Linked DNA regions of Mus musculus. Each later gene encodes a partner of the first gene's protein in a complex. Links are inferred from orthologs where the notes say so. Each region holds a gene or a part of one and is shown in the gene's direction. Other genes may lie near its edges.

Region 1 (3,653 bases):
AAAAGGTGTCTTACCTCTTCCCACCCATAGGACGAAGACTCAGATAATGAGGACAATAAGAACTCAGAGAGTGACATGGACAGTGAGGATGGGGAAGAAAGTGAAGAGGAGGACCGTGACAAAGATGTGGACCCAGGCTTCCGTCAACAGTTGATGGAAGTGTTAAAAGCTGGGAATGCATTGGTGAGCAGGACCCAGGGGAGAGGGGGTTTGTCCAGCCATTTAAGGGTCGGCTGATGGCTCTGCTGTGTCTCAGGGTGGAGTGGACAACGAGGAGGAGGAGGAGCTTGGGGATGAGGCCATGATGGCCCTGGACCAGAACCTGGCCAGCCTATTTAAAGAGCAGAAGATGCGCATCCAGGCCCGGAATGAGGAGAAAAACAAGCTACAGAAGGAGAAGAAGCTCCGACGGGACTTCCAAATCAGGGTGAGTGTACTGGTAGTTGCCATGCACCCTGAGCTGTTCCTGCCTCTCCCATGTTTCTGCATGAGCTGACTCTTAGCCTTTTGGCCACAGGCACTAGACCTGATCGAGGTGCTGGTGACCAAGCAGCCTGAGCACCCCCTGATCCTGGAACTACTTGAGCCACTGCTGAACGTGATCCAGCACAGCATGCGCAGCAAAGGCTCCACCAAGCAGGAGCAGGACCTCCTGCACAAGACCGCCCGCATCTTCATGTGAGTGCACACGAGTTACCCACCCCTGGGTTCTCACGCTTGCGGCTTCCTGTGCATAGAGGAGAGGTCCCATCCCAGCCATCACTGTTAGAATAGTTGGGGATTCCGACAAGCCCACTCTGTTCCTGTCTCTGAGGACATAGAACTTCATCTTACTTTACAGAGGCCAGAAGCCACTGTCCCACAAGACAGATACACGTAGGAGAGGAGGGACACTTTAGAGGCATCAAGTTTCTGTCCATCTCTAAGCTGGTTTCCTAACTTAGCAACGTGACTTGGGGCTGCTCTTTGCTGTACTTGACAGAGCAAAGTAGAGAGACACCTTTTGACCAACTTTGCCTTTCCTGCCCATAGGCACCACCTGTGTCGTGCCCGCCGCTACTGCCACGAGGTGGGGCCGTGTGCAGAGGCTCTGCATGCCCAGGTGGAGAGGCTTGTGCAGCAGGCTGGCAGCCAGGCTGATGCCTCTGTCGCCCTATACTATTTCAATGCCTCTCTGTACCTGCTGCGAGTCCTCAAGGGCAACACCAATAAGAGGCACCAAGATGGTCATAAGTTACACGGAGCTGACACAGAGGACTCAGAGGTGAGCCAGGGTCAGCCCTGCTCAAGACTCTCCCTCAGCCTTCTCCCTGCTCCCAGTCTCACCCCAGCTCTCTCACCAGGACCAGGCTGCTAACTGCTTAGACTTGGACTTTGTGACCCGGGTGTATTCAGCATCACTGGAATCTCTTCTGACCAAGCGTAACAGCTCACTTACGGTCCCCATGTTCCTCAGCCTCTTCTCCAGATACCCAGTAAGTATGGGAGCCAGCCTGTCTGTTGGGAACTCTACCCAGCCCAGTCCCCAGCTAATGGCCTCTTGTCCTTCCCCAATCCCTAGGTGATCTGTAAGAACCTGCTTCCCGTCCTGGCTCAGCATGTGGCTGGCCCATCTCGGCCCCGCCATCAGGTAAGGGGCTGTCAGAAACACCTGGACAGTCTTCTCACTTGAGAGGCCTGCGTCACTGACCTTGGCTGTGCTCGTGCTGTAACTCGTGATTGGCACAGAGGAACTGGAGGAACCTTGCTCTCTGGCCTGCATAAGAGGGCTTCCCTTGTCGGCTTAGATGCCAGGGCTATCAGACAGGCTAGAGGGAGATCAACATGAGGTCGATCTTGCTTCTATCCAGTTGGGACCACTGCCTCTCCAGGCCTCGGCAACCCTTTTCCCACATAAGAAGAGAGAAATTGATGATTGTAAGGCCTAGCACATGCAGCCTTCTCTAAGTTTCTGTGAGTTCCTGAGTCTTGACCTGACATACTGGGGTTCCTACTGACTATTACATTCGCCTTGATGCAGGCCCAGGCATGCCTGATGCTCCAGAAGACTCTGTCTGCACGAGAGCTGAGAGTCTGTTTTGAGGATCCTGAGTGGGAGCAGCTGATTACCCAACTCTTGGGAAAGGCCACCCAGGTAATAGCTGTGAAGCCCCCACCCATGAACTTGTCCCAGGTTTCTGGTAACCAGATTGCTTGGAACACATTTCCTCCTCCTGGGCCACTGTTAGGTGTGGGATGTAGAAAGGCCTTGGGCTGTTCTCAGGGGTGTCTCAGTGTTGGCCTTCCTCTGTAGACCCTGCAGACTCTTGGGGAGGCACAGAGCAAGGGGGAGCACCAGAAGGAGCTATCCATCTTGGAGCTGCTGAACACTCTGTTGAGGACAGTCAATCACGAGGTAAGGCAGCTGCCCGGTAATCAGTGCCCAGGTGGAATGGGCAGCAGTTCTGACAGTAGTCCTCCCGGGGGTGGGGGGATCTCCAGAGGAGTGTGGCCTGGGAGCCACATGAAGGTTCCAAGGGGAGGATTCTGGCCTTTTAAAAGATTAAATGCTACTGGACCTGGTAGATTGGGAGGGAGGCTGTGTTACTGTGTGCCAGAAAGAAAACTGAGATGTTAGTAATCAGTGAGAGGGGCTAGAGATGAGGCTCAGAATAGAGGGGCAAGAGTTACTCATGAGCCATCAGGATAGAGGGCCAGAAGACCACTGGAGATGGGCAGGTGGCTGAAGAACTACAAAAGCAGAGACCCAGGACCCTGGCTATGGAATGGGAGTCAGTGCCAGTGGTCCTTGCTTCCTCCACAACCAAGGGACTAGTGATGTAAGGACAGAAATGGTTAAGGGACTCAGGAGCCACTGGGAAGACCCAAATGCTGGCGAGAGGCCATGTCACCACCACTGCTACTCCAGCCTGCCTTTCCTCTGCAGAAGCTGTCTGTGGACCTCACTGCTCCCTTGGGCGTGCTTCAGAGCAAGCAACAGAAGCTGCAGCAAAGCCTGCAGCAGGGGAATCACTCATCTGGCTCCAATCGCCTCTATGATCTCTACTGGCAGGCCATGAGGATGCTAGGAGTCCAGTATGTTCTGGGAGAGGGACCAGCATTGGGCATGTGGCTAAAAGGACTCTCCCTCCAACCAATACTGCACACACACACACTGTTCTGTATCCTTCCTTACAGACGTCCAAAGTCAGAAAAGAAGAATGCCAAGGATATTCCTAGTGACACCCAGAGCCCCGTCAGCACAAAGCGGAAGAAAAAGGGATTCTTGCCAGAGACCAAGAAGCGAAAGAAACTTAAATCTGAGGGCACCACACCAGAAAAGAATGCTGCGTCACAGCAGGATGCAGTGACAGAGGGTGCCATGCCTGCTGCCACTGGTAAAGACCAGCCCCCCAGCACAGGCAAGAAGAAAAGGAAGAGGGTAAAGGCCAGCACCCCATCCCAGGTGAATGGGATAACTGGGGCCAAGAGTCCAGCTCCCAGTAACCCCACCCTAAGCCCCAGCACCCCTGCCAAGACCCCAAAACTGCAGAAGAAAAAAGAGAAGCTGTCACAGGTGAATGGAGCCACTCCTGTGTCCCCCATAGAGCCTGAAAGCAAAAAGCATCATCAGGAGGCACTCAGCACAAAGGAGGTCATAAGAAAGTCCCCCC
Region 2 (3,653 bases), on another chromosome or scaffold:
TTTATTTTCTATATATGAGTGTTTTGCTTGCATGTATGTGTGTACACCACCATGGTCCGGTATCCTTGGAGGCCAGAAGGTGCCTGGAGTCAGAGAGGGTTGTAAGCTGCCATGTGCTCAGTGGCTAAACACTGGTCCTCTGAAAGAGCAGTAAGTGCTCTTAACCACCGAGCCATGTCTCCAGTCCCTCACAAAGCATTCTGTGTCTTGTGTGTGGCTAGGAGTGGTGCATATGGAGGTCAGAAGAGATCTTGGAGTCATTTCTTTTCCACCATATTCATTCTGGGCTTAGACCCCAGGGTATTGGACTTAGATCACCAGACTGGACAGCAAGCACCTTACATGCTCAGGAGTCTAGCCAGCCAGTCTCACACATTTTATATCTATTATCTTTTTCTCTTCAAAACTGAGGATTGAATCTAGGGACTTGAACATTTCAGACGTTTATCATTGAGCTATATCCTTATCCCTTATATATATCTTTCTTAAAGATATTTTACACTATGTATGGTTTTTATTTTCCTAGTTGAATTTTCAAAACAATGAGTATTTGGTACAATTTGGACACAGTAGGTATTCATTTGAATGAATGAGAGGACCTCCACAAAATAAATTTTGTATTTGACTAGATTTCAACCAAGAAGTAAGTGGTTATTTAAATATAACAATGTTTTAAGCTTTATATACCACATATTTCCTGGGGTTTTCTTAGAAGACTGGATTAAAGGGTACTTAACTTTCTCAGACTGACTTACGGACATTATGAACATTGTTATCAAACTACAAAGTAATGTTTAGCCAGCTATCTTAAAACAGGTACCAAAATACAGTAGAAGCATGCTCCAGTGTTTATAGCACAGTAGGATGACTGCTTAGCTTAAATAACTTATTACATGTTTGTATGAACATTTAGAATTGTTCAGAGACTCAGGACAAAATAAAATGAGTTTGAAATACTAATTATCTTATTACAGTTTATATACATATAGATTAATTCTTTTATGTATGAGAAAGAAATAAATGAGAAACTAGATGATTTTTTTTCACAAGTCAAATGACTAATCTTAATAGTGATAATTGTAATTAGATGGAAATTTCTGATATTTTAGATTAGGTGTTCCACAAACGAGTAAAATGTTACTCTTAAAAAAATAAAAGCTTTCACGGTGTTTCATTCACTTCTCAAAACTAGCTCAGGAGGAAGTAAAGTGCTGAGTTCAAGAGATCTTCCTAACCTGTTTATAAAGTTGGCATTATTTTAGCTTTTTGATATGTAAGAATTATTAATTTCTAGAAAAGAGTCTTATCGTGGAAGGCAAGAGAGAGAAGAAGAAAGTAGAGAGACTGACGATGCAAGTGTCTTCCTTACAGAGAGAGCCATTTACAGTGACACAAGGTGAGTGCATATTGCTTTTATGGGAAAAATGCTCAATTAGGCAAAAGTGACTAGCCAACAAATACTTGATACTAGCAGTCTACTTAGTGTTTAGGAAGTAGGATATATTTTTGGCATAATTTTAATTTTCCCTGTTAGCACAAAGTTATCCAAATTATGTGGTGGGGGTAATTTTCATTAAATTAACTTTGTAGATGTTATTAAGGCCTGGGTATTTAATTGTGATATTTTGCTTTTCAGGGAAGGGTCAGAAACTTTGTGAAATTGAAAGGATACATTTCTTTCTGAGTAAGAAAAAACCAGATGAACTTAGAAATCTACACAAACTGCTTTACAACAGGCCGGGCACAGTAAGACATTTGATAAACATCTCTACAATGTTTTTTGATCCTTAATATATTAAGATGCTTCACCTTAGAGCTGTAATTTTCATTCTGTAAGACTTTAATGATTAGCTAGTTCAATTTCTATACTATACTAGTGAGTAAATTTGAGACACACATTTGTTAAGGCCATGGGGTACATGGTAAGGACATACCATGGTAAACATAGCTGGTAATGTCTATGGCTCTTTTGCTTTTCCTCCTAACTGGGTCTAGAGGAATAGTTCAGAGATAGATTGCTCTGTAATACCCAAGGCCCTGAGCTGAGTCTCCAACAGCACTACCACCAAAACAAAAAAGGAAATGAAATTTGCTCCAAACTGAAAAATCTAAATTATATATACAGTCTGTAGTGACTTTTGGTTTGGTTTGGTTTGGTTTGGTTTGGTTTGATTTGTTTTTTTTGAGACAGGGTTTCTCTGTATAACCCTGGCTGTCCTGGAACTAACTTTGTAGACCAGGCTGGCCTTAAACTCAGAAATCCACCTGCCTCTGCCTCCCAAGTGCTGGGATCAAAGGCTTGGCCACCACACCCGGCTCTGTAGTGACTTTTAATGATATTAGAATTAATTTGTTTTTCAATGTTCTGGCATTGTTCCTTGTAATTATATCTTATTTTAACCAAATACCCATAAAAGAAAGTGGCAAATTTTTGCCAAATTATAGTTATTATATCCTACTACATGTAACTGTATTTGAAATGAAAGGGGTTGTTCATCTCTGTGGGTGTTTTGCACGCATATATATCTGTCTGCTCATTGTGTGCCTGCGACAGTATTAGACCCCTTGGGCTGGTGTTACAGATGTGCTGAGTCAGCCACCATGTAGGTGTTGGAAGAACAGGCAGCCATCTTGCCAGGCCATATAATTATGTTTGAAAAAAAAATGTGCTTTGGGTTGTATGTGTATAAAAAAGGTAGAGAGAGGATGTCTGAAGCATGGTCTAGTTTATTTTCACTCACACTAACCTCAGTCTGCACAACAATCTAATTTACACTTGTTTCATAACTAGTAAACGGCATTCACTTTTTAGAATACTTACTTTACTTTTCAAAAAAATAGTCATTGACTAGTAACTTTCTACGTTTACCTTAAGAACAATTATGGTAAATATTCCTAGGTGAAAATACATTCAGATTCAGACTGTTCAAAAAATTCAGTTTGTAGGATTTTCGTAATATTAACATGTTAGTAGTAAATACACTTTTGTTGACTAAATCAATATTTTAACTTGGAAGATGGATCTGAAAATGAAGACTCTGTCTTTGACTTTTTTTCTTATACATTACTGGATAGTAGCATTAACAATAAACATTTTCAGGTGTCCTCGTTGAAGAAGAACGTGGGTCAGTTCAGTGGCTTTCCATTCGAAAAAGGCAGTACCCAGTATAAAAAGAAGGAAGAAATGTTGAAAAAGTAAGTTACTTTTGTAACTACTGTGTTTGACTAATGCGCTGTAAGCTTACATTTATTAAGATGAGGACCTGCTCATTTTCTAGTAGATTGCTAACTAATTTCGCTGTCAGGGTTTGACAGGTTTTTCTTGGCATTAGCTTGGGGGTTGTTTTTTCTGTTCTGGTAAATATTGACTGTTATAATTATTGAGAGCCTTTAAATCTTCATTTCCTAGAAGATACAAGTACTCACTCAGAGTTCAGACTTGATAAGGTCCGAAGGAAATAGTGAAATATATTTCCGTTTCCTGCAATTACTGTTTGTTTCTTAATGTTTTAAACTTGCTTTGAAAGTAACCCGATGAGAAATTTTCCATATGTGCTAGCAAGGTGACAGACTCTTAGAACGTTTTATTAAATGCCATAGATAAGAATTTAAATAATAAAAATGAAATATTGTAATGCTGAATCACTAACCCA

What was found.
Region 2: Mybbp1a (region 1) and Dek share a complex: the UniProt entries of both Homo sapiens proteins name them as parts of the B-WICH complex. The link is inferred for Mus musculus from reciprocal best matches to the Homo sapiens genes MYBBP1A and DEK.

What each region holds. Positions count from the first base shown.
Region 1 is NC_000077.6:72,447,700-72,451,352, forward strand, and holds part of Mybbp1a (myb-binding protein 1A), read left to right. Parts: intron 1-30; coding exon 31-183; intron 184-256; coding exon 257-427; intron 428-517; coding exon 518-678; intron 679-1,032; coding exon 1,033-1,264; intron 1,265-1,343; coding exon 1,344-1,475; intron 1,476-1,561; coding exon 1,562-1,630; intron 1,631-2,020; coding exon 2,021-2,134; intron 2,135-2,293; coding exon 2,294-2,395; intron 2,396-2,926; coding exon 2,927-3,075; intron 3,076-3,177; coding exon 3,178-3,653. UniProt on the Homo sapiens protein: May activate or repress transcription via interactions with sequence specific DNA-binding proteins. Repression may be mediated at least in part by histone deacetylase activity (HDAC activity).
Region 2 is NC_000079.6:47,099,716-47,103,368, reverse strand, and holds part of Dek (protein DEK), read left to right. Parts: intron 1-1,294; coding exon 1,295-1,396; intron 1,397-1,636; coding exon 1,637-1,746; intron 1,747-3,100; coding exon 3,101-3,195; intron 3,196-3,653. UniProt on the Homo sapiens protein: Involved in chromatin organization.